Cricetulus griseus: one gene and its partner. The protein of the gene in region 1 interacts with the protein of each later gene in a pairwise test. Links are inferred from orthologs where the notes say so. Each region holds a gene or a part of one and is shown on either strand. Other genes may lie near its edges.

The links.
Region 2: the proteins of Ankrd13a (region 1) and Qdpr interact in a two-hybrid assay, tested with the Homo sapiens proteins (2 studies listed by BioGRID). The two-hybrid records come from large-scale screens. The link is inferred for Cricetulus griseus from reciprocal best matches to the Homo sapiens genes ANKRD13A and QDPR.

Annotation. Positions count from the first base shown.
Region 1 is NC_048597.1:94,422,924-94,426,907, reverse strand, and holds the end of Ankrd13a (ankyrin repeat domain-containing protein 13A), read right to left. Parts: intron 3,331-3,984; coding exon 3,263-3,330; intron 2,688-3,262; coding exon 2,492-2,687; 3' UTR 785-2,491; downstream 1-784. UniProt on the Homo sapiens protein: Ubiquitin-binding protein that specifically recognizes and binds 'Lys-63'-linked ubiquitin. Does not bind 'Lys-48'-linked ubiquitin.
Region 2 is NW_023276807.1:114,015,001-114,019,461, forward strand, and holds the start of Qdpr (dihydropteridine reductase), read right to left. Parts: upstream 2,870-4,461; 5' UTR 2,773-2,869; coding exon 2,677-2,772; intron 245-2,676; coding exon 152-244; intron 1-151. UniProt on the Homo sapiens protein: Catalyzes the conversion of quinonoid dihydrobiopterin into tetrahydrobiopterin.

The DNA of each region.
Region 1 (3,984 bases):
TTCTAGACCCAGGGCTAGGTAGCACTTTGACCTCCATCACTTATTGTCCCATGGTCACTTAAAATTTCTACAGTCCAGTTCATCTCCCTTGATGTCATCATGGTCAGGAGGAGCCTGAGGTCAAGCTGTTGGCTATGCGTTCCTGTCACTATTCAAAGCCAACTTTCCCTTGACACTGCACTTTCTATAGTGTGACAAGACTGGAACAGTCTCTCAGAAACCTGTATTCAGTGCCAACAGCACTCCTGGGTAGAAGTGACTGGAGCATGAGCCTTGGTGAACTACTTGGTGTGAAACAGTTCTTAGACTGCATGCATCGTGGCCTGCAAAGGGGGTGTTGTTTTTCATGATGCTTGAGGCTCAAGTACTGCTTATTCCCCCAAAGCAGCTGCTCTTCCATGTTCCTTCTAGCCCCTTCTAGAACCCCAACACTGTCATCCAGCCACTGCCTTTTTCCTTTAAGGCCCCAATTTTCACTTGAAAGCCTTAAAAATAGTACCCCAGCACTCTGGCTTCCAGGATCAGCGGGGTTGATCATGGCCCATTTTCTCTTCTGCTACCAGGCACCACTTTCACAAGGTGAAGAGGATCCAAACTGTCCAACACTGGGTGCTTTTCATTTATTTCCATCTGGCACAAGTCATGAGGAATGTTGCCTGTTGCCTGTGCCCTGGGCAGGAAAGCTGGGGGTGGGTGATAGTGTGCTGCTTTGTAAAGGGCAGGCACTGTGTCCTCCAGTGACAAGAGGAAGACTGTGGAATAGACAGGACTCTGGCTGTCAGGACTCTGAGTACCCTCTGTGGAAGCATATTTATTTGCATTTTAAGAGAAAACACATGGGGAAAGCTGCAACAATGCTCAGTACCTTTTTACGTGACTTCCTGGGGACACAGTCAGACTTCAGGAAAGCAGAGCAATGGAATGCAAACACAGGAGTTACCTAGGATTCACTTTAGTGAGTAAACATGGCCCAGTGCAGCCATTCCCGCAAGTGTCTTTGCTCCTGGCAAACGCCAAGTAAACAGACCCCCAAGCTGAGTACAAATGTGATGGCCATACTGGCCTTATGTACAGGGAAGGAATTTGGTTAGACCATGACAAAAGGCAGATGGCCATGAGGAATTAAAATCACAATTCTTTTTGTCTAAGAACATTTTACTGGCAACACTGACTGTATCAAACAGACATTTCTGGGGACCGTGGATTCTCTTCCTGTCCCCAGAAGAAGTGTAACAGGAAACAGACGCAAAATGGGAAGGTATTACTACCATGTGATCAGCGCAGCCTGTGGGGGTGAATGCCTGCACCAGGTGAGAGGTGCAAGGTGCCCTTGGCTGTATTCCCCAGGGGCGGTCTGTTAGCAATAGGTATTTACAGGAGGGTTAGACAAAATAGTTAACTACTAAACGTATCCAAAAAAGGCCTGAGAAAATCTGGTTAAAATGCATAACCTTGTATTGCTACTGATGGGAGTAGTCATTTTTATATCTTTTAAAAATAATAAAAAGATTCTGTTAAAAAATATATTTATCCAGAAAGATGTTGATTTGAACTCTAAAAAGCAATGAGGAGTCGTCACTTTTCCCTTTTGAATGAAGAGCCTCTACTCCATGTTAGCTCCCTTCTGGTTTCAAGTTCATCCTGTCCTCTCTAACAATAGGCCATGTGCTGGCTCTCTCCCGGTGGGAAATCCTTCACCAGAGCGGGCACCGCCACGGTGACTAGGTTCTCTGCTGTCCAGTGGTCAGCTTGCCTGTCGTGAGAACCAGCCTTGGATTCCCCTAGCTGCCCCTAAGGACAGGATTAGCTGCCTTCGGTTTAGCCTGGAGGATGCTGCTCCCAAAGGAACTAACTGCCTTTGCGGACTCAAGTCAGGTCCTCAGTGTGTGGAGTGAGGTGGCTTAAAACTATTAATAATTTTTAAGGCTAAGGCAACATCCGTGGTCATCTGTATATCTTAATTTGATGCAAATAGTTAGCCATAATCTAAAATAGATCCTGTACATATCCTCTTAGCTGGGGTAAAGGGCATGGAACAGGGCACAGATGGGGAGTAATAATGGCCATGTCCTAGGAACCCTGGCAGAAGGGAAAATAAAGAGGGCAGCAGAACCCATTTCTTTGGTGAACACTCTACAAAGGCTGCTGCTCTCGTGTAGAAAAGCACCCTGACTCTGCAGTAACTGTCATCATGTCTGATTAAGATGTATCTACTAACTGCAGGGCTTGGCGTCTCTGTCTAAAGCTGGTAGTAAAAATGTGACCTGCAAGCCAGGATAGCTAATGGAAGAAGGTGACAATGCTCTCCTCCCCTCAGCCTGGAGATGGGACCTGCCAATGCTCCCCTCCTCCACTCTGGGGAGTTCCTGGTCCTGCACCTTTGCATAAGGAAGGGGCAGCTGCTGTCTGCAGGAAGTGTAGGCCCTCTGTCTAGGGTCTCAGCTGATGAAGCACTCCCATGCAGCCCAGAGGAGCCCCCGGACAGAAATGTCTATTTCTCAGTGAGTGACAGCTGCAAGACTTGCTGGAGTTCTGCTTCTTCCTCCTGGAGCCTTAGCTCCTGTTCCGCCAGCTCTTTGGCAGACAGCTCCATGGCCAGCTGTAGGTCGCTATCAAAACGGCTTGACTCACTGAGGGCACCTGGGCACTGACCTTCCATAGTGGTTAGGAGGCTCTCCTGGATGGCCCTATGGTGGGAATGGGACAGAGTTATTCCTATCCTGAAGGCAATGGTGACAAATACATTCTTAGTGATTAAAAGCACACTGTACCAAGCACTCCTCCTGATGCACGATGTCATGCACTGTTGTGATAGAGCTGCTGGGCCTATGTGACTGCATCACCCAGTACTAGGATATGAATGGAACTCTGGTCTGTTGGAAAGCACAGCTGAGGTGCCTGACCTCCAGTGCTCACATAGGAAAAGGAGGCACTACTGCAGTTTCTACCATTTCTATAGCTCTTCCTCAACCATCTTTAACTCTATCTATCCTCACCCAGCCAGACCTGCAACTCACATTCACAGAAGACCAAGCCAACCAGAAACCATTTAACCAGGGCTTTGCTGCAAGTAGCCCTAACCTGTGAAGCAGTCAGCATTTGGTTCAGAGTTGGTTTAATGAGTAACCATGATGAGAAGAAGCAGGAAAGTGTACTGACTCTTAAACCTGCCACTGAGCGCAGCCACACAGATGCCCGGTATCAAGTGCCCATGCCAACCCAGGTTTGACAAAAGCCACATCAGGACAAGTCCCATAGTTACCTCTCATACTGGGCTTCATAACTGTGGGTGGGACTGATCCCTCCATTTGATGCTGGTCCTGAAAGGTCCTGGCAAAAACAAAGGATGGGTATGAACTCCTCACAGAGGGAATGGTTGCCAAAATGACCAGGAAATGAACACAGTGAGAACAAAATGTACAGTATTTACGTGTCACTGACTGCAATGTGGACACTCACAGTGACCGTCAGTACCATATGGTACAGGGCATCAGACATTACCACCTTCTCAGACTTTACACAGTTCTAGTCTAGAACCCCTAACCTAGTGCAACAGTCAAACCAAGGCAAGGCATGCCTTAAAGACAAACTGAGGAGACATAATTCAGTGTTTGTTGACCTGGACTCTAGCTATTGTCCTCATCAAAACTTAGTTATCAAGGTTTTATAGCTATTGAGAGAGTAATACTAAGCTCATTTGAACAGACAGAGGAAGCACTGACAGTTTTGTCTAAGGGTTGGGTCTTCCCAAAAGCAGACAGCCCAGCTGCCAAAAAAGTAAATAAAAACCAACTCCCCCATACCCAGATGAGGGCTGGAGAAATGGCTCAGTATTGAAGAGCACTATCTGCTTTTCCAGGATCCAGGTTTGGTTCTCAGCACCCATGTGGCAGCTCACAACCATCTCTACCCCAGTTCCAGGGGGTCCAACACTCTTCTGGCCACCTCAGGCACCAGACAGACAGACATGCCAGAAAAACACCC
Region 2 (4,461 bases), on another chromosome or scaffold:
ATTAAAATTTATCTTTGTTTTTGCTTTAAGTTTTGATTTTCAATTTTTCTAAGTTTTCCTCTGGAGGATTTCTGAATTGGCAGACAAAGAGCACAGCCTGAGAAACCCTCCCTGGGCCTCTCCTGTCACAGTGAGGGACCTTTTAGATTACCTGGTCAGCCTGTTCCGTAAATGAGTCTGTCATTTTAACAATGACACTGGCACTGGCCTCTTCATTCTCCACCACATCGATGCTGGCAACCCACTGGAGCAAGAAAAACAGTTTTGGTTAAGAGTCAGTGAGTTATTACTTGTCTAAAAAGTCACACCCAGAAATAGGAGCAATAGGGAAAGTGAAGAGGCTTAAACTGAAATGCATGGGACCAAAAATGTTTCCAGGTTGCAATTTGGGATTCTGAAATATCTGCATATACTTACTTATCTTGGGAATAGGACTGGAGCTTAAATGCAAAGTTCACATTTGGTAAGCACATTTCATATACATTGTATACTCAGTCTGAAAGAAATTTTACACAGTACTTTCAATAATCTTGAACATGCAATAGGTTTCATGTCATGAAACTTCCCATCTGAGGCTTCGCACAGCCCTTAAAAAGCTTCGGATTTAGAAGCATTTCAGATTTTTGCTTAACATGTAAACAAAAAGCCACTAGAGAAAGGAAATAACAACTGATCTTCCTGGCATCCCTTCAGGAACCACTGACCGTGGATGACCCACCTTCTACCACACTTCATCCCAAGCCATCATGCTCCTTCCTCTTCTCTGCTGGACTCTCAAGGCCAAACTCAACATGTATCTAGTAGTACCTGAATTCAGCAAAGCCTCTACAAAGAGCCATATTGAGAAGAAAAAGCTTTGCTGGACTATGAGCTCTCACAAATACTTAAACCTACTAGCACAGGAGACAGCTACAAACAATATGGAGTTGGAGGGGCATACCAGCCATCCTTGCAAATGCCAGATGCTGAAATATAAACTACACATACCACATGTTGTTATTCTTTTCATTTTATAAAACCATTTCAAGTGTAAAACTCTTCACAACTCTTGGGTGCATAGAGATGGATAGCTGTGCAGCTGTCCTATGGAAGACCCCCTGCTCTGTAGCAGACAGATGGGCCTTCTGTGTGGATGACTGACTCAGGTATTAATACTAGTCAGCCATAATGTGGCAATCTTCTTCATTAAAGAAAACAGGTGAATGATTAACATGGTTAGTAAAAACAAAATGAGATGGAGGATACTCACTCTTGGCATCACTGAGTTTTACTTCAGAAACCTCTGGGGTCCTTCAAGCTGAAGACCCCAGAGGTCAGTATCTACCATTAATTGCAAGTACAGCACCATTCAACAACACTCATTACCTGTATACCACAAGCCATGGGGAATAATACTGAGACAAAGCTGGCTCCACCCCAGCCCTGCCTAGGGTGCCACAAAAGAGAATTTGGGGTAAGTCAGCACACCAGGCTCAATGCAGAGGCCAAGGAGGAACACTGCTTAGTACCTGGCTCCCTGGTTCATGTTCAGCTGCCTTCTTATTCAGCCAAGGCCCAGCCTGCCTGCCTAGAAATAACAGGCCAAGTCCCCGACATCAATCATCCATCAAGACAAGCTCTCACAGACATGGCCACAGGCAAATTGGATCTGAGCAATTCATCCACTGAGGCTCCCTCTTCCAGGGTGACTCTGGGTTGTCAATGTGACAATAAAAGCTAACCAGCAGAGTGGAGGGGGGTAATCAATGAAGTCAGAATCCGAGAAAACAGATAGATATGAGTACAGGACCCAGTTGAGGTAGACAAAGCCCACACCTTCAATTCTGCCTTTGTCTCCACCCTCCATCTTCGAAGATCATGGAAGACATCCCAGGCTTCCAATGTTCTAAACAGATACTGTTATTACTCTTGTATCACACTTATGCCAGAACAAAATTCTGAGCCCTTCTCTCTGGTCTCAGGGGATCCCTTGCCCAGGCCTTCTGCTAACTAAACTCTCAGGTAGGTGCTCCAAGCCTCAGGGATGACTCTAGGACAAGTCTCCTGTGCTGATCCCTGCTAAGAGGCTGGGGCCAAGGTCAGCTCTATGTCCACTTGTCCTCTGGGAGTGGACACCTGACTAGGCAAAATAGTTGAAATATCCTTAACTGAGCAAAGATGTCAGCAACTGCGGGGCTGAGCCTTCAACTGCCAGATCCAACAGGGCTAAAGCAACACTGGTAATAATATTAGCTGCAGTATTGGTGACAGCTAGCACTTAAAAGGCTTTTACCTGTTATCTCACTTAATCTTCACAATCGACCCAAGAGTAAACAGAACATTATTGTCATTTTGTTTTACAGGGGAACTGAGGCTAGAGAATGTTAATCAATTCAAGGTCACTGGGCTAATAACTTAGGGCCGCCCAATTCCAGAGTCTCCCTTCTGCCCTTCCTCTCCCAGTTCGCTCACACCGTTCCTCTGCCCTCCCGAGTCACACTGGACCTTCTGGGCCTGGAGGAGGCCTCGGGAGCACCTACACCACACGCTCCTTGCAGGGCAAAGGTCCGACACCTGTGGCCTGGAACAGACAGGAGCATGCGAGTGTAACCTAGTCACGGGTGCACAGGGCCGGTAGTTTCCCCCACCCCCTACTCCAAGGGTCTGCCGCTCGCAGCGATCGTCCCGCAGCGTTACCCAGTTGCGGGCTCGGAAGGCCTGTACACAGCGCGAGCCCAGCGCGCCCCTGCCGCCGTACACCAGCACCCGGCGCGCCTCCCCCGAAGCCGCCATCCTGCTCCTGACAGGCTTCCCGCGGTACGGAACGTCAAGAGGGAACGTGCGGCTGTGCCAGCCGCTACACAACGCGGAACTCAAGAAGATTGCCCGCCTCTACCTGCGCCCCGCCCAGAAGCTCCGCCCTGAGGTGGCGACGCAGATATTGCAGAGCCACGCCTCCCACTTTGGCCAATAGGAGTGCGTCAATTGGAGCGCGTGATCACTACTTGCCCCGCCCTAAAGATGAGATACATTAAACCACGCCTCCCCTCGGTGGGCCAGTAGACTCTCGGCCGGCTAAGTACGTGCTCTCTACTGCGCCCCGCCCATCTGCCGAGCCTCCACTGCCCATGAGCCAATAGGAGCGTAGCTAGCCAGACGCGTGCTCTAAACTGTGCCCTATGGCCCGCCCTCGCTTGTAGGCCGGCAGGCGTGCATCATTCTCTCCGCTAAGCCCTGAACACTACTGGGGTGTGGACCACAGCAAAGTTCCACCCTCGGGCAGCGATGCTTTTGGAGCACTAAGCTAAGCCCCAGCCAGGAACAAGAGTTCAGTTGTGCAGTTGCTGCAGGGCTCAAGTGGGTGAAAATAATTGCTGACAGGAACAGACCACCTGAAATATTTTTACTCTCAAATAAGAGTGTGAACTTGGCTTGGCCCCACTGCCTAACAGCTGTGGGGCCTAAGTACCTCCTTCAATTGTTCTGTGCCTCAGTTTCCTTGCTAATAAAATGCGATTAATAGTCTGTGCCTCTAGAGTAGGAGGGAAAAAAAGAGTAAAGGTACATCGAGCAGTGTGTGGCTATCAGTATTAGTCTTACAAGTACTGATTATTAAAATTCACTGCGCCTCTTAGAAGCCTGTTACACTTTTCCAAATGGAAGACAATTGTCTATCTGGGGACACATTTAAAAGTGAAAATCTGCCAAAACAGTGATAACAAAATTTTTAGTGCTCTATAGTTTAAATGTTTCCATTTCTGAAATTAATGCATTTAAAACAAAGAATATGATGGGGAGTTGTTACTATATTTAAAATAGTATTAGTATATAGCACAACAGGCTTTGCTCTGGTAGGAGCACAAATTTAGCTATGGTTTAGTTTTAGGCCTGTCCTTACATGCAGACCTCTCTGGCTGCATGTAAGCAACAGGTATCTTAGATCTACATTTGAGACCCACCAAATGATGCCATCCATCCCCAACAGATCCTGGTGTCACTTCCCACGTGTAGGTTAATTATTTCTGCTCATAAGCACAGAGTTTCTTACCAACTGCACTGCTGACATTTAGCATCAGATAATTGGAACTGAGAGTAGCCTATATGTATATAGTATTCACAGCATCTCTGAACTCTAAATGTTACCTAAAATCCCCTGAGGGGTAAAAAAATCACCTTTAGCTAAGAGCCAATGTCTGTCTCTGTTGTAGGCTTTGGAAACAGATACTATATTGGACTTCATTGTGAACCTCCAGCCCACAGGGTGCCTTGGAGACAACAGACACAGTTTTACCTGCAACTGTCAAGAGCTGCTGACCTATGTCAGTGGACATCAGAATGTGGCTGGCAGAACATTCCACTCTCAGGAGCTGCATTATCTAAAGCAGAATTGTTGAGAAACCTGGTGGGAGGGAGAGGCACATTTATCTAATGCCCTCCTCATGCCAGGCAATTTTAAGCAATCTGTGTGTGCAAGTTCACTTT